Ovis aries: one gene and its partners. The protein of the gene in region 2 purifies or fractionates together with the protein of the main gene of each other region. This does not show direct contact. Links are inferred from orthologs where the notes say so. Each region holds a gene or a part of one and is shown on either strand. Other genes may lie near its edges.

What was found.
Region 1: the proteins of HECTD1 (region 2) and URGCP purify together in Homo sapiens (affinity purification with mass spectrometry; 4 studies listed by BioGRID and IntAct, with this or other methods). This does not show direct contact. The link is inferred for Ovis aries from reciprocal best matches to the Homo sapiens genes HECTD1 and URGCP.
Region 3: the proteins of HECTD1 (region 2) and SMC2 purify together in Homo sapiens (affinity purification with mass spectrometry; 3 studies listed by BioGRID, with this or other methods). This does not show direct contact. The link is inferred for Ovis aries from reciprocal best matches to the Homo sapiens genes HECTD1 and SMC2.
Region 4: the proteins of HECTD1 (region 2) and KPNA2 purify together in Homo sapiens (affinity purification with mass spectrometry; 3 studies listed by BioGRID, with this or other methods). This does not show direct contact. The link is inferred for Ovis aries from reciprocal best matches to the Homo sapiens genes HECTD1 and KPNA2.
Region 5: the proteins of HECTD1 (region 2) and IQGAP1 purify together in Homo sapiens (affinity purification with mass spectrometry; 3 studies listed by BioGRID, with this or other methods). This does not show direct contact. The link is inferred for Ovis aries from reciprocal best matches to the Homo sapiens genes HECTD1 and IQGAP1.
Region 6: the proteins of HECTD1 (region 2) and SMC4 purify together in Homo sapiens (affinity purification with western blotting; 3 studies listed by BioGRID, with this or other methods). This does not show direct contact. The link is inferred for Ovis aries from reciprocal best matches to the Homo sapiens genes HECTD1 and SMC4.
Region 7: the proteins of HECTD1 (region 2) and ZNF622 purify together in Homo sapiens (affinity purification with mass spectrometry; 4 studies listed by BioGRID, with this or other methods). This does not show direct contact. The link is inferred for Ovis aries from reciprocal best matches to the Homo sapiens genes HECTD1 and ZNF622.

What each region holds. Positions count from the first base shown.
Region 1 is NC_056072.1:261,355-265,498, forward strand, and holds the start of URGCP (up-regulator of cell proliferation), read right to left. Parts: upstream 2,801-4,144; 5' UTR 2,771-2,800; coding exon 2,748-2,770; exon of another isoform or gene 2,169-2,747; coding exon 2,082-2,168; exon of another isoform or gene 1-2,081. UniProt on the Homo sapiens protein: May be involved in cell cycle progression through the regulation of cyclin D1 expression. May participate in the development of hepatocellular carcinoma (HCC) by promoting hepatocellular growth and survival.
Region 2 is NC_056071.1:39,550,826-39,555,006, forward strand, and holds the start of HECTD1 (E3 ubiquitin-protein ligase HECTD1), read right to left. Parts: upstream 2,801-4,181; 5' UTR 2,009-2,800; intron 716-2,008; 5' UTR 583-715; coding exon 443-582; intron 1-442. UniProt on the Homo sapiens protein: E3 ubiquitin-protein ligase which accepts ubiquitin from an E2 ubiquitin-conjugating enzyme in the form of a thioester and then directly transfers the ubiquitin to targeted substrates.
Region 3 is NC_056055.1:18,966,920-18,970,419, forward strand, and holds part of SMC2 (structural maintenance of chromosomes protein 2), read right to left. Parts: intron 1,353-3,500; coding exon 1,159-1,352; intron 91-1,158; coding exon 1-90. UniProt on the Homo sapiens protein: Central component of the condensin complex, a complex required for conversion of interphase chromatin into mitotic-like condense chromosomes.
Region 4 is NC_056064.1:48,650,015-48,653,514, forward strand, and holds part of KPNA2 (importin subunit alpha-1), read right to left. Parts: intron 2,741-3,500; coding exon 2,652-2,740; intron 1,510-2,651; coding exon 1,241-1,509; intron 1,078-1,240; coding exon 983-1,077; intron 889-982; coding exon 625-888; intron 438-624; coding exon 204-437; intron 1-203.
Region 5 is NC_056071.1:21,440,849-21,444,348, reverse strand, and holds part of IQGAP1 (ras GTPase-activating-like protein IQGAP1), read left to right. Parts: intron 1-2,793; coding exon 2,794-2,964; intron 2,965-3,500. UniProt on the Homo sapiens protein: Plays a crucial role in regulating the dynamics and assembly of the actin cytoskeleton.
Region 6 is NC_056054.1:227,749,703-227,753,202, reverse strand, and holds part of SMC4 (structural maintenance of chromosomes protein 4), read left to right. Parts: intron 1-1,384; coding exon 1,385-1,561; intron 1,562-1,800; exon of another isoform or gene 1,801-1,893; intron 1,894-3,500. UniProt on the Homo sapiens protein: Central component of the condensin complex, a complex required for conversion of interphase chromatin into mitotic-like condense chromosomes.
Region 7 is NC_056069.1:56,858,979-56,862,478, forward strand, and holds part of ZNF622 (cytoplasmic 60S subunit biogenesis factor ZNF622), read left to right. Parts: intron 1-2,177; coding exon 2,178-2,290; intron 2,291-3,500. UniProt on the Homo sapiens protein: Pre-60S-associated cytoplasmic factor involved in the cytoplasmic maturation of the 60S subunit.

The DNA of each region.
Region 1 (4,144 bases), on a different chromosome or scaffold from region 2:
GACCTATTTGTGCTGCTGTAGTTTATTGCATTAATGAATATATAGGACTATATTCTATGTGTCCTGTTTTGCTTCCTTTAAGGGTTATTTAAAGGAAGGATTATCTAAAGGCTCTCGGTCTTCTCCTGAGACCCACGCTGGTCCTTTCAGGACCCCAGAGCATAGCACCACGAGTGGAACTCAGCTCAGTCCCTGGCTCCTGGTCTGTGCTGCCCAGGCCAGTGTCCTCGGGACCATGGCACCATGACTCAACTTCCCTTCTGGAGGCACCTCCCATACAAGCTTCTCTCCAGGACAAGAGGTGCTCTGAATGCCATCCTGAGGACCAAGTGTGTCCAACAATTCTAAGTTTAGGAAGCAGACATCCTGGTCTGTACACCAGGCTCCCTTCAAGTCTGGCAGGCAGAATCAAGACTCTGACAACCCCAAGCTGTCTGCCGCACTGGCTGTCCCTCCTAGGAAACAGAACGAGGCACAGTTGCTTCTCCTTCATTCTTTCCTTTTACATTGCACAGCAGAATTACGTGAGGAACTTTTCTATATATACCTAAAGATTCTGATTCAGGAGACCCACCTCTGAAATGGAGAAGCATGCTACCACCTCAGAGTCAAAAATTCCTTGTCCCTCAAGGCTAAGAATAAACTGTCCAAACCTTGTGAGCAGGGCTAATTCCTAGCAACAAACCTGGCTCCTTCACTAAGTGGTTCCAATAAAATAAGATAGCACAGAAAATCAAACAAACGGAGACAAAATACAGGGGTGTTGCTTACCATAATGCAGTTAACAGTATATTGTTGATAACTTTGGATAATAGAGAGTTTGACCCTGGGTTTTTTTTTTTGTTTTTGTTTTTTTTTGTTTGTTTGTTTTTGCTGTTTGATGCTAATAGCTTTTGAGATCTTCCACTTTCCTCCCTGCCCAACATCTGGGCCAACAGACAAGAGAGTCTGAGGTCTCCCTCCTTTGGTGCTGGCTGGGGACCCTTACTCCATCACAGCCCCCAAAACAAAACCTAACCTGAGGCTACTTGCTCTACCCAGGAAGTGTCACTAAATTAGTAATAACTTTTGAAACCCTCTTGGTGGGTTGAACTGTGTCTCCCATAGCTATGTTCAGATCCTACCTCCCTACTATGAATGTAACCTTATTTGGAAATAGAATCTTAGCCGATCTAATTAGTTAAATTAACACAATGTTATACTGGAGTAAGGTGAGCCCCTAGCACAATGAACTGGTATCCTTATAAGAGGAAAATTTGATTACACAGGGAAAAAAAATTTGACGACAGAAGTGGAGATTGGAGTGATGTGTCTACAATCCAAGGAATACCTAGGACTGCCAGCAGCCACCAAAGGGTAGGAGAGAGGCTTAGGACAGAAAGAGCCTCCAGAAGGAACCAATACTGCTGACACCTAAGTTTTAGACATTCAAAACTGTGAAAAAAAATATTCTGATTTCTTTAAACCTCCCAGTTTGTGGTACTTTGTTACAGAATCGCTACCAAACTAAGACAATATACATATGGCTCTTGACAGCTGTATTAGCTTCTGCCTCTGTCTTGACATGGGTTCTCGCCTGTATGTGTCTGTCTCTGTTCTCTGCTTCTTATAAGAGCACCAGTCACTAGATGAGGGTCCACCCTAACTCAGTGCAACCTCAAATTAACTAATCACATTTGTCTGCAAAGAGCCTATTTTCAAAAATGATCACAATCACAAGTACTAGGGGTTAAGACTTCAATATATGTTTCAGAGGGGACACAACTGATCCACAATATTCAGCCAAAACTAGGGACCATCCCACCTTTGCAAGGTGACCAGCCACTGAAAAGTTTAAAACTCACTGTGCAGCTGTGAGGACTGGCTGAGAAAACATACGTGATAAAGTTCCATCAAACAGCACACGAGGACAAGTTATTATAAAACAGGTAATGGACAAGCACTCTGCAGCCTGGCAGTTTAGTCCCTGAAACACACTAGCATGTGCAGGGATCATGGCAGAGGAGCCCACTGCTGTCCTGCTTTTATACACCTAGAATTTCCTGATGGCAGCAAACGTAGCACACTGAGAAAGAGCATACCTGTCATATGTCAGGCAAATGTGTCCTGGCCTCAGCCGATGCCCCTCAAGCAAGGCCCTAGGGCAATAATCACTGAAACAGCCCAACCTAAGAGGGTCCCAAGGAGAGAACAGGTGTAATGAGCAACAGGTCTTCGTCCCAGGTTCATGCCATGTAGGATCACCATACACAAGGAAATAGCTCTAATGCTGCCCCAGTCCTCCAGGAGCTTCTACTAGGGTTGGGTTGGAGAGATACTGTGAACACTCATTATACAAACCCTGCAGAATACATGCACATTAATCTTTAAAACAAAGCTGGCCATCTCTGCTCTGCACACCTAATGAGGTTGCTATAAGGATTCAGAGAGATTTACATATGTGAAGCAAGTTTATATAAGGCAGTGTTCTCCTGCATTTAGCCACATATTTATTTACTGCTAGGAACTTTTCTAGGAGTTCAGGATATATCTGGGAAGGACATAAATACCTCTGCTCTTAGCTTACATTCAAGGAGGTAAGAGAAATTGACATTAAACTATTTTTGAAAGTTTAAATAAAAGATACACTCAGTTCAGTTCAGTTCAGTTCAGTCGCTCAGTCATGGCCAACTCTTTGTGACCCCATGATTCGCAGCACGCCAGGCCTCCCTGTCCATCACCATCTCCCGGAGTTCACTCAGACTCACGTCCATCGAGTCCATGATGCCATCCAGCCATCTCATCCTCGGTCGTCCCCTTCTCCTGCTGGTTCACAAATAGTAAAAGAGGAGCCCAGAGTAGGCCCAAATACAGTTGGGAATTTTGTCCCTGATCCAGGTAGCTCTAAGTATCTGGTGATTATTCAGTTATAACAACTTGGAAAAAATAAAGGTAAATTCTTACTACTCCTTTCACCAAAATGAAAACTACCTGGATCAAAGAGTTAAATTAGAAAATGAAACAAAAACGCACTGAAATAAATATTTAAGACTTAAAAAAAAAATCTCAGAGTAGGAAAGGCTTCATAAAGTCGAAAGGCCAGACAGTGGAAAAGCATGTGTAACACAAAGGATGAAAGTTAGTTTTCTCAATGTACAAAGATCTACAAATCCATGAGAAAGAACTAAGCTAAATAGAAACAAAGTAACAAAGATATCTCCAAAAAGCATTCTGGATTTAAAACAGAACAAGGAGGACTGGAATCCACACTGTGCCCTGCCTCCCAGGGAGATGCTTCTCTAATGAGGATGCCAGCTGCTCAGACAGGAGCAGGAGGCAAGGTGCCTGAGTTTTCATTTATGTTCATTTTGAAAATTGAGGGACAGGGTGGGATGATTTGGGAGAATGGCACTGAAACATGTATACTATCATGTAAGAATCAAATCGCCAGTCTATGTCTGATGCAGGATACAGCATGCTTGGGGCTGGTGCACGGGGATGACCCAGAGAGTTGTTATGGGGAGGGAGGTGGGAGGGGGGTTCATGTTTGGGAACGCATGTACACCCGTGGTGGATTCATGTCAATGTATGGCAAAACCAATACAGTATTGTAAAGTAAAATAAAGTAAAAATAAAAATTTTTAAAAAAAGAGAAAATTTTACCATGTGCATTGTTAATTAAGACAACTAACAGTTTTATAAAAAGTTACAATGCAGAGAATCTAAGACAGACCCACGTCTGAACTACAACAGAAAAAAGGCCTTCCTGACATGCAGGTCATCTCAATAGGAACGTAAAACCTCCTAGAGGGAATTCTTCTTTAAAAGAAAGAGCTGTGTCTAAGTTATTCTACACTCAGCCATAGTTCATACAAGCAAAATTGAGGGCATAACCACTCCACTAAAACAGCTTCTTGCTCCAATAAACCAAGTGAACACCTCCTCACTTCACTTTCATTCCGAGCATGCCAGAGATGTTGCATGTGCTTTGTGATCAGAACAAAATACTGAATCGAACATTTTTGTTGTGCCTCAGTAAATAAATTTAAACCAGTTATCCATAATGGGGCTGTTAGGCATCAAGTTTTAACTTAAACTTCTTACTGCTAAGTCGCTTCAGTCGTGTCCAACTCTGCGCGACCCCATAGATGGCAGCCCACTAGGC
Region 2 (4,181 bases):
CAGCAGAAGAGACACAGATTTATAGAACAGTCTTTTGGACTCTGTGGGAGAGGGCAAGGGTGGGATGATTTGGGAGAATGGCATTGAAACATATATATTATCATGTGTGAAACAAATCGCCAGTCCAAGTTCGATGCATGATACAGGGTGCTTGGGGCTGGTGCACTGGGATGACCCAGACGGATGGGATGGGGAGGGTGGGGGGGGGGGAGGGTTCAGGATGGGGAACACATGTACACCTGTGGCGGACTCATGTCAATGTATGGCAAAACCAATACAATATTGTAAAGTAATTAGCCTTCAATTAAAATAAATATATTAAAAAAATAAAACTCACTAAAGAAAAATTCTATACAAATTCAAATCAGCAGATGGTTGAAAACACGTTATGCCCAGGTCACTACAGCATCCCCAAATGAAAATGATGAAGGGTTGCACTTACGTTTCAAAACAACGATCCACGTTGTCAGACATCAAAAGCAGCATGCATAGCTGTTCAAGGGCTATTAGTTGCATGTCCCTTTCATCTCCTTGTCCCATCTGCAGCCATTCCAGCAAAGTATCTGGGTCCACATCTGCCATTGTTTCTTAGGCTTCTTTGCTTAAATTTAAAAAGCAAAGGCAAAAATTCCTTTAAATGTCCAGGACTGAACAGCGTGGGCTTAATTTTTTTTCTTTTCTTTTACATCGGCTAGAGCCAGATTTTCTTGGTATCCTAGGAATTAGAAAAGACTTGTAAGTATGTTTGGATAGTGTACTTAACCGTAGTTTTCCAACTTTCCTTATTCCTCGGGTTTAACTTCATACATTGTACTAAATAAAACCAGTTTTGCACAAGAGTATAAGCTGATTAGGCTGCTGCTTAAACTGGAAACCAGAGCCGCCTTTGTCAAAGACAGTCAAACAAGCTTCGGATCCCACTATTGCTATCACCAACATGTTTGCCAAAAGGCAAACAACACCTTACTAAGGGTTCTTTTTTTCCCCAGAAAACTTCCTTCCCCCTCCGTCACCCAAAGCTGATCTTCTGATAAGGATTAGATTCAGTATTTTAAGGAAACTTAGCACTTTGATCCAATTCCCCTCCAAATCAAGTCTCTAAAATTAACTTCAACTTCTTAAATTCTGCTGATTTAATTTACTGCTATCCTTAAGATGTCCAAATACAAACAATATACAAGATCTATCTATGATTTGATTAGGAATTTTGGCAGTAGCAGCAACTGTTCTTAAAAGTTTAAAAAGAAATGCTACAAGTAAGTGCAATGGACTAACACGTTACAGATCAGAACACAGGCCAATCTGCGGTCCTCTTTACCCATCCTCACCGAACGGGGCAGTTGGTTAAAAACAACAGCAGCCAACAACAGAGAAGCAGCCCCAACTGGCAAATCAATACAAAAACTCAAAAGCACTCTGACGAGAGGACAGCGTTGGGTCCCTCGTAACCCAGCTGCAGGTGCATAAATCCAGCGGCAGGTTCCGGTGGGCACCCAACGGCGGCGATCTGCAAGGGTGACCCAAAACTCGGGGCCCAGCCGACCCGGCGCCGGGAGACGCAGGCACTGCGCTCCGGTTTTCCCGAACCAAACCCGGCTAAGTTAGCTACCTGTGTCGAGGAGGAGGGTAAGTTTTGGAGGTGGAGCTGCGAGCCTCTCTACCCGAGAGAAGGAGGCCGGAGCAGGCAGGGCGATGGGTCTCCCGGGAGCGGCGCCCGGAACTCCGAGGCCCGGGGGGACGTCCCTGGCCCCGTCGGGCGGCGATCCTTTCTCAAGGACAAGGCGGGCCAGCCATGGGCTCTGGCTCGGACAAGCCGGGGCCCGCCGTGGGCAGAGTCGGGGGAGGTAAACAAAGGGGCCAAGCGGGTGAGTCGGCGGCAGCCCGCCGACCTCACCAGGGGCTGGGGTCTCGCTCCCGGGCTACCGCCAGGCATCCCTGATCCCGGAACCAGGCCTGACCCTTCCGACCGCCGAAGGCGCTCCTGCGTCCCCTTTCCTCAAGCTCTTACCCAGGCCCGTCGTCTCAAACCGCTCCGGTCCAGCTCCAAGCAGGCCGCGGGCTGAGCCAGGCCCGGCCGCGGCCCTCGAGTTCCCAGGAAGCCGCAGGCCGCGCAGGTCGAGCCGGGCTGGCGGCACAGGAAAAGCCGCGCCTTGTCCCTCCCCTTCCTCCGCGGGGACCTGCTGACAGGAAAGCCAGAGGTTCCCCAGACCGGCGGCAGCCAGCTCACGTCCCGACCCCGGCACGCGGCTCCAGAGGCCTGCAGCTTAGAGGCCCGCGCCGTGCTGCCAGCGGCGGCGGCGGGGGGAGACCGCGTCCATCGCGATCCGGGAGGGGGAAGGGAAGAGGGTCGGGGGAGAGCCGGGCGGGGAAGCTGAGGAGGGCAGCAGTGCGCCGCGGAGGCGGAGCAAATGGGCTGCGCTGGCTGCGACCCCGCTGGCCGCCACGTGGGGCGCTGTGGAGACCCGTCGGCCCGAGGCGCAGGGGCGCGGAGCGCCCGGTAGCTTCGTCGCCGCTACAGAAGGTCTCCGGCTCCCTCGGCCTCGTCAGTTGTCGCTTTCCTTTCGTACGCTCTGCGCCTTCACGTTTCGTTGTCAATTGAAGCGCGCTCCCAGCACCGCGCACATACGGGTGCACGCACGCTCAGCGTGTTTTGCACGGTGTGTATACACTTGGCGTGCTCCTGCTGAAAGCCCCAACGCTGCACGTCGAAGCTGCGGCCCAACCTGTCCGGGCCCGGCCTCCCGCCTCTGGGACCCGGCCTCCGGCGAGAGCTTCTCCTCCTCGCTGGTCTCCCCTCCTCGCGCACGGAAGTGCATCGCGGGAAGAAAAGCGCCACCCTTCGGTCCTGGGAGGCAAACTGCCCGGCAGTTCAGAAAGAAAACCTTTGACCACAACCCTGGGAGGTAAATATTGTCGAGTATCCTCTCCACTGTACAGACGAGAGAGCTGAGGTTCCAAAAGGTTTGAATTCAGGCCCGGTGGCGTTCCCAGGAAGCAGCAGTACCTCGAGTGTGTTTTCGACTTTTTCCTATGGGTTGTGATATTAAGTATGTCTGTAGTTAGTCCCTTCGAACGTTTTATTTCACACGCGTTGAAAACAAAACATGCCTGCGTATGAGAAGCTCTTGGAGACAGTTGAGACGTAATTAGTTGGAAATGTGATATAGCTTTCTTTTTTTTTTTTTAATCAAGAAATGAATCCCTTGGTTTGTGAGATAAGTAAACCATGCTCCTACACCCACTGTATTTAAAAAACAAAAATGCGTATTAGTATTTGAGGCGTGTTCCTTTAAGCAGAGGAGCTGCTGCATATCTTTGAAGAACTAGTATTTTGTAAATTACGCATTTGCGCCTCGAATGTCTATAGATACATGTCCCACTATAGCAGGTAAAGTTCCTAGGTCTCCTGCTCATAGGTCAAATTAAGAGATAAGAGTTGAGGATTCCACTATCTTGTCCCAACTACAGCACATAAGAATGATTATTTGAGAGCTGTGAATGTGACTTGGAGCTGCCAGGAAAATCTTCAAGGAGGAAGTGGCATTTATTTGGACCCCGAAGAAATGGGTATAAAGTGAACACTACAAGGGAGGAGGAAGAAGAAAGCAAAGCCTGATCAGTTGTAAAATAAAGGAAAGAGGACCTGTGCCTCAAGCAAAAACCAGCGTTAAGCAATGATGGAGAAAATAGGAGCAAAAGTCAGCAGGGACTTAAATGTGTGCGATACAGAATTTATGCTGAGGTAAAGTAGCAAGTTCTGGACTAGAACATTGACTGGAAAAGTTCTAAAGAGTCTTACAAAGATGTATAGGGCGAGAGTGACCAGAACAGCTAATAGGAACTACCTTGAAAAGGAGATTAACTGGGAGATTGGAAAAATCCTCCAGCAGTGGAGAGAGAAAGGGTCTAGTTTTTGGCAATAGGAAGACAGTTCCTATGGAGAAGAAATAAATCTTAAAAATGTTTTATACATGCAAATGTTTTATAAATGCCCCTATACATGCACAGCTGTCAAAAGTACTCCATGACCTAGTACATTTCTGACAATGAATGTATGTCAATAAACCATTATTACTCAAATTCCATAGTTTACATTAGAGTTCACTTTTAGTGTTGTATATATTCTGTGGGTTTAGACAAACATATCTTGACATATCCGCCACTATAATATCATACAGAAT
Region 3 (3,500 bases), on a different chromosome or scaffold from region 2:
GATAGCTTCCTTTACAGCTTCAAGCTGTTGTTCATAGGATGCATGCTCTCTCTTGAGCTCCTCCAGCTCCAGGGTGATAGCTTCAACTTCCTATAAAAAACACAGCATCTGGGCATTCAATAGTTACCAACTACTGTGGCTCAGACAGTAAAGCGTCTGCCTACAATGCGGGAGACCCAGGTTAGATCCCTGGGTTGGGAAGTTCCCCTGGAGAAAGAAATGGCAACCCACTCCAGTATTCTTGCCTGGAAAATCCCATGGACAGAGGAGCCCAGTAGGCTACAGTCCATTGGGTCACAATGAGTCGGACATGACTGAGCGACTTCACTTCAGCAAAACTAATAAGATACTTAAGCAAGTAAGGACCATAGCTTACTCAATTACTGAAAACATGTAAGCTGCTTCCAAAGAAGAAAAAGGGAAAATGAATTTATTTTTCTATATTAAAAAATGTACATACAATTTTTATGGGTTCAAAGAACTCTGCATAAACTATTTCATCCTTTTATTCCTATAGAGAAAAATAATACAGAATTCTATATAGCAGATAAATTAGGAGAGGTTAAAAACCTTTTTTAAACAATTATTTAATGACAAAAAAAAATAGCTTCTCTTCTTTCCCATTATAGCCTTTAGTTCTTTACAAAATGCTTTGTATAAAGCTAAATATTTAATAGTAGAATCATAAGGTGGGTTTAAAAAGAACTGTGAAGCAAAGTTAGATTTAAGTGAAACTGTATTCAATAGTGAAATTGTATAGAATAGTGATTGAGCATGTAGCCTTCTTTGTAAACAGAAAAACATAGGTTCAAATTCCAGCCTTGAAACTATCCAAAATAGTCTACAACTGAATAGCACTGCAAATATAACATGCTTTGCCATCATTATTCCTTCACAGTGTCTGTTCAAACAGATGATCACCAAACAGAAACGTCAACAGTGATTCTCTGATAAGACACAGCTTGGCTTACATGATACAAGCTTTGGTCCACTCCTGAATGAAACATTATCAAAATCAAACCTTTATCAAGCAACTTTGTCTCTCACTTTTTGATTTGTGACACATATCGATGAAGAAGGCCATGTCAACCAATGGTGCTCTACCACCCTTCAGTTCTACGCTGATGTTAAAAGATTAATTCTATTAAAAAAAATTACCTGTTGTTTTTCTTTCATTTTTTTGCTAGAAGCATCTGCTTTAGTTCTGGCACAATCTAGTTTTTTCTGTGCATCCTTCAGTTCTTTCTCTCTTTCAGCTTCAGCATTTTTCATTTTATTCTCCAACACCTCATATTTTTCTTCAGCTTTTTTCTGAATTTCTTTGGTGTTTTTTAAGGTCTCCTCACTTTCCTCTGCATTATAAAGCAGGCAAATACAACTAAATGAGATCTTCCAACTAGTAACAGCTACAGAAAAGGGCTTACAAATTCAACTTTTAAGAGAAGAAAAGGTATAGAAAGTTGGAGTCAAGAGTTTAAAAAAAATTAACTGTTCTAACTTTATCCTAGAAATAGTATGTTGAAAACACAGGTCATACCTTAGAGCCATACTTGAATTATCTAAATTCTGTAAAGAAATTATTTCCAATCACATGAAATTGAGTAACATAAACTTTATCTACAATTTAACTTATAAAAAGATCACAGACCGTTTTATATACCATATGCTTTATAAAACCAGAACTGAGCACATAACTATGGTACTTTTATTTTAGTTATAAGAATACTTTTAATTAACCCCATAAAAAAGCTTAACTTAGTGTTCCTTGCTCACTTATTTTTATTCAAGGAAACTCTTATTAAAGTGGAGAAATATTGTGAGACTATACTTAGGACGAAGCATAGGAAACATATTACCTCTGAATTTAGACATTAAAAAAATAAAGTAAGATAGAATGAGCATGTTATGCTCACAATCAACATACACTGTTAAGTGTTAGGACTAGGTACAAACATAACCTTGAAAGCCAAGATTATACAATTTCCTATACTAGTTTTCACTGTAGAATATCATTCTAGAAATCAAAAGAGAAATTTTAAAAATACCCAACACAAAGATAAACAGAAATACAACAAACCAAATGTACATTAGATGTAGCAAAATCAGTTCGAGGAGTTAAGTTCATAGCAACAAATGCCAACCTAAAGAAATAAAGAAAAATCTCAAACAACTTTACACCAAAAATCTGTTGTGTTTCTATATACTAAACAGTCCCATTTAGAATTGCATCAAAAAGAAGAAAAAACAAAACCCAAAGTTAGTAGAAGGAAGCAAATAATAAAGATCAGTGTGGAAATAAATGAAATTGAGACTAAAAAGAAATAGAAAAAAGAATCCATGAAATTAAAAGCTGGCTCTTTAAAACCAATAACCTTCCAGCTAGACCTAAGGGGAAAAAAAGAGACTCAAAGTCAGAAATAAAAGATACTGCAACTGATACCGCAGAAATATAAGGAATCATAAAAGGTAACTATGAAAAATTTCACACCAACAAATCAGACAACCCATAAGAAATAAATCCCTAGAAAAAGACAACCTAACAAGATTAAATCATGATGACATAGAAAATGTGAAAAGACAGTAATATGGAAATTTAATAAGGAATCAAAAACCTCCCAACAAACAAAAGTCCAGTTGAATTAAATCAAACATTTAAAGAGTTAATACTAATCTTTCCTTTTCAAATTCTTCCAAAAATCAGACAAAAAGAAAATTCTTTCAAATGCATTTTGTGAAGCCATCATCATCCTGATATCAAAACCAGACAAAGAAACCATAAGCAAAAAAAATCACAGGCTGTCATCCCTGATGAACATAAATGTAAAAATCCTCAACAAAACATCAGCAAACTGAATTCAAGAACACACTGAATCATACACCATGACTAGGTGGGATTTACTCCAGGGATACATTGATGTTTTCAGTTCAGTTCAGTCACTCAGTCGTGTCCGACTCTTCGCGACCCCATGGATCGCAGCACGCCAGGCCTCCCTGTCCATCACCAACTCCTGGAGTTCACTCAGACTCATGTCCATTGAGTCGGTGATGCCATCCAGCCATCTCATCCTCTGTCATCCCCTTCTCCTCCTGCCTCCAGTCCCTCCCAGTATCAGTCTTTTCCAATGAGTCAACTCTTCACATGAGGTGGCCAAAGTACTAGAGTTCAGCTTTAGCATCATTCCTTCCAAAGAAATCTCAGGGCTGATCTTCTTCAGAATGGACTGGTTGGATCTCCTAGCAGTAGAAGGGACTCTCAAGAGTCTTCTCCAACACCACAGTTCAAAAGCATCAATTCTTCGGCACTCAGCTTTCTTCACAGTCCAACTCTCACATTCATACATGACTACTGGAAAAACCATAGCCTTGACTAAATGGACCTTAGTCAACAAAGTAATGTCTCTGCTTTTCAATATGCTATCTAGGTTGGTCATAACGTTCCTTCCAAGGAGTAAGTGTCTTTTAATTTCATGGCTGCAATCACCATCTGCAGTGATTTTGGA
Region 4 (3,500 bases), on a different chromosome or scaffold from region 2:
TGGTCATAAAAATAAGATTCCAAAACTACTGTTTTAGAAGAAAGTGATTAAGACTTTCAATTGGTTCTATCCAAGCTAAAGTAAAAAGGCTACTATTATTTAGCAAAGGACTGTTAAACAGAACCCAGCATTAGTATGTTAAGAATCTTAAGAAATACAACTCTACCAAGTGCCTGCCCATTTAAGTCCTAAGGCTACAGTACCTTTGAGAGAAGGCCAACAAGGAATGGGACTAATCCATGATTCACAACTTGTTGTATCTGGTCCTGGCGGCCAGCTGTGATGTTTGACATTGTCCATGTAGCTTCCTTCTGAATATTAGTTTTGGAGTTTGTCAGCAGGCTGGGAAACACGGCAAGTGCTCCCGCATCTATTACAACCTGTGTTTGTTCATCTGTCCCAGTGACAATATTTCCTATGGCTCTGAGCGCAGGAGTCTGAAAGGAAAAAAAGTTGACGCTGGCAGTTATCTTTTATCTATTCCAGCACTACTCAAAATCTCTACACCCTAAAAGTTTTGACAGGTAAGAGGCTCATTATGGCCTAAAATATATAATATGTCAATATTAGTACCAACTAATTGTGCTCCTTATACTTTATACTCTCATTTGAAAATCAACTTACCACAATTGGCAATTCAGTAGCTCCTAAAAGCTTCACAAGTTGGGGTACAACCCCAGTTTTCACAACCATTTCAATCCGTTCATTTGGACCATCAGTAAGGTAGGAAATAGCCCAGCAGGTGTCAGCTAATACTTCCGGATCATCGTGATGCAGGAGACGAACTAAAGTAGGAAGAATCTGCTCAATAGCCTCTAAGGGGGGTGCAGGATTCTTGTTGCGGCAAAGATTTGAAAGCGTCCAGGTAAGATTACGTAAGTAACCACACTGGGGGGAAAAGAAACACGCAATGAAGTGGTTTTTTAAGGGGGGTAGGAAAATGAGAATCAGTGAGAAACGTGACTTATGCTAAGTAACTTACTGCTAGAGACGACATATCAGGCACAGCCAGAAGTGCCAAGAGCGGATCAACTGCACCATACTTGATAACCAGGTCTCGGAAAACGGAACCATCACCTTAAAAAAAAAAGAAGGCGGCTGAGTCAACCACTACCACCTGTCTAGTGCCATTAATTTCCGTTACAGAGTACACCAATGTCTTGACGCAACAAACACACTAAGACACGTATGCCAACCTCAGTATGACTGGAGACATTCAGCCAATTTCAAATCCAAGTACCTGCAATGTTTCCCAGAGCCCATACAGCTTGTTCACTGATGTGAGCATGGGGAGATGCCAACAGAGAAATGAATGCTGGGATAGCACCTCCGTCCACCACAGCCTTGGTCTGTTCTGAAGTCCCAGAAGCAATGTTAGTGAGGGCCCAGGCAGATTCGAACTGAATGGGACTACAATCAGTTCTTCCCAAGAAGGACACAAATTTTGGAATCAAACCAGCCCGGATTATGTTGTCAATAGGGGGCTGTTTTTCCCTAGAAAGCAGTTTCCTATGGGTAAGCAAAAAGAGAAACAAAAGTTGAAGGTGATTAACCAAACAGGTTCATACCAGAGGAAAAAAATAAAAACAAAAACACAATTTAAAACGCCAACTCGAGACCAAACAAGTTCATATAAAAAACACAATTTAAAATGCATCTTGCATGAGTACAGCTGTGGTGGATTCATGTCAATGTATGGCAAAACCAATAAAAGTAGAAAAAAATAAATAAATAAAATGCATCTTACACGGGGATGATCCAGAGAGATGATATGGGGTAGGAGGTGGGAGGGGGGTTCAGGATTGGGAACTCATGTACGTCCGTGGCGGATTCATGTCAATGTATGGCAAAACCAATACAGTATTGTAAAGTAAAATTAAGTAAAAATAAAAATTAAAAAAATAAAATAAAATAAAATAAAATGCATCTTAATCCAAGAGTTTAGAACTTTAAGTAACCTTTTACAGTGAAGACTAAATGCTGACATATCCTGGAATTTAAGAGGAGCTGAGCAGACAGACTGTTTGCATGGTGGGGTAGTGTCGTAAACTACTTTTCCCAAAACTGAAATATTACCAATGACGCAGAACCCTTCTCTCTGCAGAAATCTACTCCAGATCTTACCACTTTTTAAAAACTTTGACATACGATACCATCACAGTCCATTAATCCGCATTACTCTGGCCAGTGGTGGGGACACACACGTTTCCCCTGATCTTCTGCCAATTGGACCTGCTTTTCCCCACACTGTGAGGCTACAGAGATCATCAATCCTTATATTATGGATGTCACAGATAGCTGTGTATGGTGGGTGGGAAGAGTCTAATAAATAGAATATATTTATTTCCTAAATGGATGAACCATTCTAAATCAATGTGGTAATCCCAGTTACTGAATAATTCCTCCTTTCCCTGACATTGACTTGAAATGCCAGTGACAAGAAAACATTTCTGAAGTACACTAAAGTTATCACTGGAGGTAGATGTAATTTGAGGCAACTACAGAAAATTTTAGATTAGGAAAGATTATAATGAAAATTGGCCTAGGCCTGGCTTAACCTTTACTCTGCACCACCTGCCATTGCTTTCCCACCAAAAAATGTAAAAAGGCTGATTTCTTAGTTTACTCATGCTACAGAAGACAAGACTTACCTAGCAGCTTGAGTAGCTTGGAGCTGGCTTTCCAAATTGTTGCTATTTATGCCTTTGACAATATCATCAACAGACCAATTTACAGTGCCCTACAAGAACAGGGAAATTAATTTTCAAATTATCATTTTTAAGATTAAATACAATGCAATCCCAACACGAAGACATTTCTGTTTATAATCAGTTACTAAAGTTTAGTCCCACATTTAAATTCGCCTGTTAAATATTCAATATTTAATATATAGAACAATCCTCAAATTAGGTGTCATGACCAAATGATATCTTAAGTGATGGAGTATCCCAGCATCTAGTCACTAAGAAAAGTAGCTGTGAATAGGTTAAAAAAAATGAACTAGAGCACTGCGAAGGTTATTCTTACATTAGTCTCAATCACTTGTATTCAGATATGCTTTTAGGGGAAAAGGGACAGAGTTAGAGGCAATGTGCTGGGAATCTGAAAAGCTAAAGTTGTTATCCATGCATTTCCCCTCCGGTTTATGTGGTATTTATGCACACATAAACATTATAGGTAGTAACTACATATTGGAGTTAACTGCAGCATTTGCGAACCAAGCTACAGTTAACTCAAAAAGACAGTATCACATTCTCCCTAAAACCTTACAACAAGGACAATGTAAAATCTAAACACCACAGAACAAATGATTATATATATAAAACACTGTATATAGCATTATACAGAATTTACTCTTCATTTGTGGTGCAGAATGGGGTGCTGTAGGAATTCTGGGAAGGAAGCATTTTTCCTGTTAGGATGACCTAGAAGTGCTACAAAGAGAAGATGAGATTTGAGTATAAAACTTGAAAAACACAACACAGGTCGAATTCAGGGGG
Region 5 (3,500 bases), about 18 Mb from region 2:
CTGCTCAGTGTGATGCAGCAGCCTGAATGGGAGGGGAGTCGGGGGGAGTGGACACGTGACTCTGCATCGCTGAGTCACTTTGCTGTTCACCTGAACCTGTCACAACGTTATTAATTGGCTATAGTCCAGTATAAAATAAAAAGGTTTAAAAATAAATAATAAATTTAAAAAATAAAATTAAGGCTATATAACTAATTTGGAATAATTTTTTTTAGTACGAGTACCTCAAATCTAAATTAGTAGAACATCTGGATTATAGAATTAGGTCAGATAAATTGTGTGCTTTTTTTTTTTTTTTTTTTAAGAAAACTTGAATGGTCCAGCAAAAAAGAAAAATGAAAAGTTGTTCTGACACCTCATTAAATACAACTACTCTTACTCTTTCCCAATTTACATGCTTAATCTCTTTTCTGACTATCCCACAAACTCCAAACTTTGTTAGACTATAGCCTGCACTTTCACATAAAGTTAGCATTTTTTTATCTCAGCTTTCAGAGCACATCTTTACCATCCCCTGTGTCTTTGCTGATGCTGATGTTCATTCTTTTTAGAATTTCTTTATTCATTTGACACTTTCTGAACACCTCCTATCCTCCTACATGTACCAGATATTCTTCTGTGCATCAGATGTGTAATCATAAACAAAACAAAGTCCCTGCTAATGTGAGATGTCCCTCCCCTGCCATCTACATCTGTCAAAATTCTGGCTGTCCAGGCATACCCATCTCAAGTGTTACCTCCTCTGTGTAACATAGATCAATGCTCTCCAGAACTTAACGTGTGTGTGTGAATCACCCAGGGATCCTGGTGACGTGAAGACTGACTCTGTGGGTCTGACATGAGGCCTGAAATTCTGCATTTCTGACCAGCTCCCAGGTGATACTGGTGCTACTGGTTCAAGCATATAGTTTTAAATACCACCTACATACATAATCATGTCTCCCTGTCTTTGAAAAACAAAAAAGAGAAAAATTTTAATCCTCTAGAGCTCTCCCGATTCAGTCTTGCCTGTAGGTTCATACTCTGTTCTTACTAAATGCCTTTGAGTTCGTCTGTCCTTCGTGAATTAATTTTCCATTACCATTCACGTCTTAGCTCATGGCTATCCAGCTCTTACTATAGTAAAACTCCTGCTTCAGAATGTATCAGTGGCCTTTTAATGGCCAAGTTCAGCGAGGAGGTGTGCTCTCATCATAGGCGGCCTCTCAGTGTGTTTGCTTCCTTAAACCCTCAACTCTTTCGGCTTCTCCAGCGCTGTTCTCTTCTGGTTCTACTTCCGAGTGTCCCTTCTTAATCTTTCTCTCCTTTCGTTTCCTCTGACTCCACTTGTGTTATATCTGGGTTCCATCAGCCCCTTTCGCTTCCTCTGTAGGCTTCCTCAGTCGTCTCTTTCAAGCCGGTAGCCCCCACTTTGGCCTGTGTGCCTGCAAACCTAAGTCTTGTTCCTTCAGACTCGCCGCCTGCCACCTGAGTCCTTCTCCTCACCACCAGGTGTGCCTTTGCATCTGCAGTTTAGGAGTCCAGCAGACACCTCAGCACAGGTTGGCAGGAAAATCGGGCCTGGAGTGGTACATAAGGGTGTATTTTTTTTTCCTCACATAAAGTAATTCTGGAGTTGAGCATCCAGGGAAGGTGTGGTGGCTCCATGATCTGGTCTGTCCCAGGGTTCTTCTGTCTTCCTGCTCTGCCATTCTCAAGGTCACCTTGTCCTCCAGAAGGAAGGCAGGCAGGAAGTAGGAAGACGGGGAGGAGAACAGGTAGGCCTGATGCCAGCTGTCTGTCTCTCTTAAAGAGTTTTCCTTCCCAAAGATCTTACCAAGCTGCTTCTGCTTGCATCCCATGGACTGTCCCTAGGTCATATAGTCTTTTTGTTTCTGTTTATTTGGGGGTTTTTTTGGCTGCACTGCATGTCATGTGGGATCTTAATTCCCTGACCAGGGACCAAACCCATCCCCCCTGCAGTGGAAGCACAGAATCCTAACCATTGGACTACCAGGGAGGTCCTCATGTAGTCTTTTAACTGTACACATTGCGGCCTGAGGGTAGCAGGGGAGCAGCTCTGACATCCAAGACAAGAAGGGACCATGGCTATCAGGTGGGTCTGCAGGTGTTCTCAGTAACCATTCTCGGCACTCCTGCCCTCACCCAGGGTGATCCAGGGCTGCTCTCACTGGGATCATACGCTACCAGGATTCTAATTCACCTGCTCACGCTAATCTGCCAGCTACTCAGCTAACCATGCTGCTTTTCTAAAACATATCTGACGGTTTTATTCCTCTTTGAAGGTTTGCTGGTTCTCCGGAGCTGGTAGTAACAGTCCAAACACGCTAGGCTGCTTCTCCAGACCATCTGTAGTCTGTCCACTCCCCCACAGGGCCCTCCTCTGTGGCGTTCCAGGGGCTCCAGGCCTTGGTGGCACCTGTCTCTCTGTCTTCTTATCAGTATGACCCCAGATCAGGAAGCACAGTTCCTGGGATGGTCAGCATTAGATAGGTGAGTGAGTAAAGGAAATGACATGAGGTCAAAGAAGGATGTGAGGACAACTTGGCCTTGAAAAATAGACCTGAAGTCTTCATTCCTGTTTCTTGGCTAAAGGTCTAGAATAGGGGCTTCCCTGGTGGGTCAGTGGTAAAGAACCCACCTGCCAATGCGGGAGGCATGGTTTTGATCCCTGGCCTGTGCACCGCAATTATAGCCTTGGCCAGCTGTGAGCATTAGTGTGTGCACTGCAGATGACACCATGTTAAAACTCTGTTATGTGTACATCTTCTCATGTGACTGCTGTGTTTTCAGAGTTCCATCTCTGGGGTAACGGCTGCGTATAACCGGGAACAACTTTGGCTGGCCAACGAAGGCTTGATCACCAAGCTGCAGGCTTGCTGCCGGGGGTACTTAGTCCGGCAGGAGTTCCGATCCAGGATGAATTTCCTGAAGAAACAGATCCCGGCCATCACCTGCATTCAGGTATTTCAGAGCCTCCTGTGCGCAGACTGCAAGGGGGCTTCCAGAGCAGGACTGATGAACAGTCAGAGCCTATAGTCGAATGTCTGAGTGTAATGAACAGTCAGCACCTGCAGTCGAGTGTCTGGGTGTGATGAACACTCAGCGCCTAGAGTCGAGTGTCTGGGTGTGATGAACACTCAGCGCCTAGAGTCGAGTGTCTGAGTGTGGTGAATAGTCAGTACCTACAGTCAAGTGTCTGAGTGTGATGAACACCCAGTGCCTACAGTCGAGTGTCTGAGTGTGATGAGCAGTCAGCACCTACAGTCAAGTGTCTGAGTGTGATGAACACCCAGTGCCTACAGTCGAGTGTCTGAGTGTGGTGAATAGTCAGTACCTACAGTCAAGTGTCTGAATGTGGTGAATAGTCAGTACCTACAGTCGAGTGTCCGAGTGTGATGAATAGTCAGAGCCTACAGTCGAGTGTCTGGGCGTGATGAACAGTCCAGTGCCTATGATCGAATGTCTGAGTGGGTTTTTGCCTTCTGACCATCCCTTTC
Region 6 (3,500 bases), on a different chromosome or scaffold from region 2:
CATCTTCAAGTAAGGAAGACAGGATTTCAGTACATTACACATTTTATTAATTTGGGCTTAAATTAGCTTGTAAAAATTAGTATATGGTTAAAGCAGAACCAGTATTGATTTCATTGCCTCCATGATCGTATTTTCTTTTTGAGGTGTGATGGTGGCTGTTAAAATATTAATATTTTTAGTCACGGAAATGAATTATAAGTAGCTCATAATAGTACCTTTTTGAGCAGTTCTAGTATCTTGAGTACCAGTTTTAAAGTTATGTTTTCCTTGCTTTCAGATAAGTTACCTAAACTTGAAAATGTAAGTTGACTAATTTTACCATCTCTGTTATTTCAATTCACGTTAAAGTTAGTAGGAATCTACTACCCTTTTAAAACAGCAGAAGGATAAGCTAACTTTTTTTTTCCCTCTAAAAGGAGACAGTTATACATAAAATGCCTATTTGGGTTATTTACATGGCTCTGTTGGTACTGGGGTTTTTTCTCTTCTGTTTAATAATCAGCTTTGGGAATTCGTAGTTCAAAACTGGCTGGAACCTAAAAATGTAGAAAACTAATTACATAACAAAATGAGGATGTGATTTGGCCTCTAGGTCTTGTTTTTAATTTTAATGTAACGAGCTTTAAATAAATCTACATGGTGGTATATATTTTAATTTTGTTTCTTAGTGCTTTTCTGTTATACAGTTTGGGTTGGAAAGTAGATAGCCAGTAAATCAGATTTGATTTTGTAGCTTATTAATTACACTTGATTTGTGTGAAGTTTAAAAGTCATGGTTTCAAAATGACCTAGTTTTTAAAGGAAAGCAAGTTTTAATGTTAAAGCAGATTTGCCCTTCATTTCTTTTTGTTTGATTAAAAAATAGGGGAATGTAGTTGTCAGTTCTTTGCAGTTCTTTTTACCTTTAATTGATAGCTTATTTTTCACCACCACCACCACCCCCAAAAAATTAATCTATATCACCGTACTACCATCCCCTCCCTTTTTCCTTGAATCATCCCTTGCAGCTTTTTTTAATGAACTAATGTAATCTATCAAGGTGGTTTAATATTTGGGGTGAGTTTGTTTTGGATACAGTGGGATTCTTGTTTCCCTTCAGTTCTTTTCTCAGTTAAGTATGTTTCTAGGCTTGAAGATATAGTTGGTTTGACTTTTTGGTTTTTGTGATCTGTGAGGAAGGAGTCCAAGAACTCCTTAGAAATAGAAAATTATTTCTATTCTTTGCTAAGATAATTAATTCTAAGAACTATTGTTAGCTTTTGTGCATATCCAGTTAAAGTTCTTAATCCATAGAATTGGTTTCAATATGAATTGAGTGAAATTTGAAGCAACTTATGACTTAATACCAGCAATTGTTTTCTGGTTTTGTTTTTCCTCAAAACAGGAAGGGGATGATTATGAAGTCATTCCTAACAGTAACTTCTATGTATCCAGAACGGCCTACAGAGATAATACTTCTGTTTATCACGTAAGTGGGAAAAAGACTACATTTAAGGATGTTGGAATTCTTCTTCGAAGCCATGGAATTGACTTGGATCATAATAGATTTTTAATCTTACAGGTAAGTTTATTAAGACATCAGAGGTTCTCTCTTTTTTTTCTTTCAGTAAAAGCGTAAAGAGGTTTTTCCCTATTGGATGAATCCTGTATTTTTGAGGCCTTAAAGTACTGTAGCAGCACATCATGGTTTACATACTACAGTCAAGATGCGAATCATTATTTGCTGCTCTAGAAATTTAAGGAAATTCATTCAAAACTGTATTTTCATGATCATATGCTCATTTTGTTTGGATGGACTGACATACTTGTTCCGCTCTAGCAGCACGTAAATATTGGGGTAGTAAAATAAATATTAAACACCAATATTATTGTGCTGCTTTAGCGTGACAGGGACATAGCAACTATTTATTATTTTTGTTTGTATTGCTCTTTGTGATAACATTTTAAATAAGATTTGTTATCTTTTTATAATAGTTCTTTTACTTTTGTTCTTATTTGTAATCTCTACTAATATTATATACTCCAAAAAAGGGGGGAAAAAACCACTCTGGATTCTTGGTGTTTGACAGACTTCTCTGATGTAATTTTTTATTTTTTTAAATACTTAGAATGGTCAATTAAAAGCTTATACAAGCTCTGTGTTTTGGTTCAAATGGCCTATTGAACCACTACTACTGGAAAATTAGAAAGTGATATTTCATTCTTAAGTATCATACTGTTAAAGGCTTTTTAAAGAGCTATAACATTAAGTACATGGTGTTAAGTTGATTTTTATAAAAGAAACTATTCTTTATTTGAGTAAAGATATTTTCTACCAGATTTGCTTGGTAAGAAAATCCCTCATCTTCTCTATGTTTTACCTTTCAAAAAAGTTTTTAGTGTAAAAGCATGGCTTAAGAGGAAAACTATTGTGATGTGGAAATAGCTGCTGATATTCTTTAGTGTCCTGCACTACTGGTTTTAAACTGGATTTTGGTTTGAGAAATTTTTATTAGTGTGGCTGAGTGTTCCCAGTAAGAAACTTACAAAATGTTAGCCGTTATTTCCATTTTAGTCTATATTTTACAACTATTTTTTTTAAAATAAAAGTTATTTATACATAATATATGTGGAAAGTAAGTAAATATAATTCTGGGGTGACTTATGTTAGTATCTCACTACCAGTTCATTTGTATACTTCTGTAACCCAAACTTAATTTAAAATGGATGTTGGGAACTCATTAGCAGATATATTTCTAAATGAGATTTGAATTTACATAAATGTGGGGTTAAAGCTATACGTGTTTTTTAAATCAAATTTAACTGTTCTGGGACTTGATTTGGTTAATTATGGATTAAAAAGTTACGCCTCATTAGAAAACTAAATTTGATAATGATACCATTTTGCAGGAACTTATTGTTGTGTTTATCTTATTATTTGCTGTATATTTACTATCACCCTGAAATAATCAGAGTTTTACACCTGTACGTAGACTCATCAAAATAGATTGTATTTTAACCCTTGTATGTTTTTTTCCTTGGTGGAGCCTTTCTACATAGTTCTGTGAATAAAGGGAATTAAATAAAGTAACATCTCAAAGAGATAAATCAGAATAGTTTTTAAATTGTAAATTTTATATTCAGTATGTGCTTCTAAAGTGTCCAGGATGCTTAAGCCCTTTATCCTCATAATCTCAACTTGTTTTTAATCATCTTAACAGTTACATTGTTGAAATCATTTTTAATACCAAGGTAAACTTTCCACATTAACAAATTGAATTCCATTTGATTAAATTTACAGATAAAGACTCTTAGGAGCTCACCTGTTAGGAAGAAGAAACAGGGACTGGACTAGATATAATTATTTTATTTTAAAGTTTGAGGGAAAGAGGCAGTGGTTTCTATGGATTTTTATTTAGTTCCTTATCAAAATCTTAGATTCCTGCCCTAGAAATTTAAAGCATTTGAAGGTAAGTAAGAATACAATTTTCGTTACCTTATCTCCCACTAAATAACATTTA
Region 7 (3,500 bases), on a different chromosome or scaffold from region 2:
TTTAGTGTGAGTTTCTCCAATTATTTTCCGTGTGTATTTGTGAAAGACAGATTCTTCTAGAACTACAGTGTCTTAATTTGCTAGTTTCTGGATGTACTCATGTTACTCTTTGGGGTAATTAATTAAATTAAAAAATTTAAAAATCCGGTTCTTCAGTTGCACCACCCTCATTTCAAGACCTATGCTTAAAAGCAGATGTGCTTTGAAAGTAGCCACTATACTGGACACGCAGACTGAAGATCTGTATCATCACAGAGTTTTCCTGGACTGCGCTGTTCTAGAACTTGTTTCTGTAAGGATTTAAATTGAGAGCTGCATCTCCCACTGTACAGTCTCCTCCTCTTCCCCTGTTTGCCAGCCCTCCTTGAGAGAAACAACACAGGTGAAAGAGTTGTTGTAGGTTATTTGCTCACTGTTTTTAAGAATAATTTTAGGTTCTCAGCAAAACTGGACAGAAGGTATAGCAGTTTCTTATGTACTCCGTACTCCACAAGTGCATAGCCTCCCTCATTATCAGCCTCCCCTAGTGGCACATATTGTTGCATTTGATGAACCAAGTTGACCCACCAGTTATCATTCAAAGTCCATAGTTTAGTGTTCACTCTTGGTGTTGTCTACTCTGTGAGTATGGACAGATGTCCATATAGTGACATGTATCTACCATTAGAGTAGTTTCATTTGCTTATAGATCCTCTGTGTTCTGCCTGTTCATCATTCTCCTTCACCTGACCCCTAGAAAACAGTGATACTTAATGTCTCCATATTTTTGCCTTTTCCAGAATATTGTATGGTTAGAATCATACAGTATGTAGCCTTTTCAGGCTTCTTTCACAGTAACATACTTTTAAGGTTCTTCCGTGTCTTTTCATGGCCTGCTAGCTCTTTTTTTTTTTTTTTTTTGGTGTAATCCAAAACTATTCCCTTGCATGGATGTACCACAGTTTGTTTATCTAGTCGCCTATTGAAGTCCATGTTGGTTTCTTCCAAGTTGTAGGAATTTGGATAAATCTTCTGTAATCCACTTGCAGGTGTTCGTATAGACAGAAGTTTTTGACTCCTTAGGGTAAATCCAAGCAGCAGGCTGGGTCTTATGGTAAAAGTATGTTTGATTTTGCAAGAAGTGGCCAGCTCTTCCAAGGTGGCTGTGCCCTCCTGTATCCCTGCTGGCAACGAAGGATTCCTACTGCCCAGACCCTCCCCAGCATTAGATGTTACGGGTCTGGGCCATTCTGATAGGTGTGTAGTGGTATCTCTGTTTTAATTTCCATTTTTCTGATGACATATGCTGTGGGGCATGTTTTTTATATGCTTATTTGCCATGTGTTTCTTCTTAGTGAGGAGTTTGTTGAGGTCTTTGGCCCATTTTTGGCCAAATGGGTTATTTTCTTACTGTTGAATTTTAGAGTTCTTTTTACATTTGGATAACAGTCCTTTATCAGATGTGTCTTCTGTCAATACTTTTTCCAAGTCTTCGTCTTGTATTTTAATTCTCTTGATACTGTTTTTCACAGAACAGAAGTTTTTAATTTGAATGAAGTTTAGCTGATCAGTTCTTTCTTTCATGAACTGTGCGTTTTGTGTCATGCCTAAAAAGTCATCACCAAACCCTAAGTCATCCAGGTTTTCTCCTATATTATCTTCTAGGATTTTTTATAGTTTTGTATTTTACATTTAGGTCTGGGATCCAATTTGAGTTCATAGGCTATTTGCTTACTTTACTAAAGAGAAAATGTTGCTGCTGCTGCTGCTGCTAAGTCGCTTTAGTCATGTCCGACTCTGTGTGACGCCATAGACGGCAGCCCACCAGGCTCCCCCATTCCTGGGATTCTCCAGACAAGAACACTGGAGTGTGTTGCCATTTCCTTCTCCAATGCATGAAAGTGAAAAGTGAAAGTGAAGTCGCTCAGTTGTGTCTGACTCCTAGCGACCCCATGGACTGCAGCCTACCAGGCTCCTCCGTCCATGGGATTTTCCAGGCAAGAGTACTAGAGTGGGGTGCCATCGCCTTCTCCGAAAGAGAAAATGCTAGCAAGTTGTTTCCTCTCCAGAAGCTTTCAGTATAGTCCCTGTAGACGTTAACCCTCGCCTGCCACCCCTTTAGTGATCTAGTAGGTTGGCAGTATGTTAATGAGATTTGGGGTCTTGGTCTGTGTGTTGATGGCATTCCATGGTTCCAGGAGTAGCTACCCAGATCACAAAGAAGGCGAGGACCATGATGAGACTGAGGAGCTGCCCTCAGAAAAGACCCTGGATTATGACGATGAAACTATGGAGCTGATTCTCCCTTCTGGTAAGTGCATTTGTCCAGAATACGTAGCTTCACGCCATTGAGATTATTGGAGAAGCATGTTCCCATCACTTCCCTTCCACGCTGTGGGGAGAGAACCTACAGCTTCAAGTGTGTGTTTATGTTCCTGTGGACAAGGTCAACTCTGAAGCGCGCCCCATAGCTCTGATTTAGCTGTTTTGTTTAAGTTGCATCAGTGTTTTCCTCACTTTGTTGTGATTTTTAATGCTTTAATCGGCCATTTCCTTTTGTGTTCTGTTTATTATCTAGCTTTCTGGCCCCTCTGGATTTTTCTTGTTAAACTTGACTTTGCCCTTACTCCTTGAATTAATTCCTGTTTCCATGGTTGTTCAGACTGTATGTGTTAGTCTGGCATGGTTGGATATGATTGACAGCACCTAGGCTTCCTGTTCATATTCTGGGTGCAGGGAAAGACTTGGAGTTTGAATTCTGCCTTCTCCTTTGGGGAACAGGATTCATAATGGTAGAATTTTGTCCCAGATATGAAAAGAAGAAGGAAAGCTACGACTATAAGTGTGAAATATTGTTTATAGTGTTATGCTTAGCTGATAGGAATGGGAGCAGCTAGAGAATATACATTTTAGAAGGACAAGGAATGGAATGATAAGATAATAAGGTTCTAATAATATTTTTACTGAGAAGTTAGCATATTCAGGCAGATACATTATTTTCTCTTTAGATCAAGTCTGAGTTAGATTCTGTTGTCCGTATTTGACATAAGCCACCTGAAGCTTAGACAGGATGAGTAATTTGCCTAAGATCATGGACCTCGTCAGTGAAGAGCCCATTCCACCTTTCCTCCACTGCCTGGGAGATTTGCTGTAATGGGGGGGCAGGGGCAGTCATGCTGCCAGTGGATACACGTCTGCCATGAAGGAATCACCTTGTGCTGTTTGCTCTCCACATGGAATATTGCTGTTTAGGTACAGACAGCCCTGCTTAACCTGGAATAATAACCTTCTAAGGTGAAGGGCAGCTTTATGCAGTGACAGTTGGAGGAAAGTGCCGGCAGAACCTGTCTTGAGGATATATCTCCTCTACAGTGATAAAGCTATAATGCAGCAGAATATTGTGGCCCGTGCAACACACAGTAGCAAAACAGGCGTAAGTGTATCACAAGGGACCTAATCTCCTCTTCCCCTGGTGAAAATACTAATGCAGAACCTCAGAAATAAGTTTGATAACTTCTTTT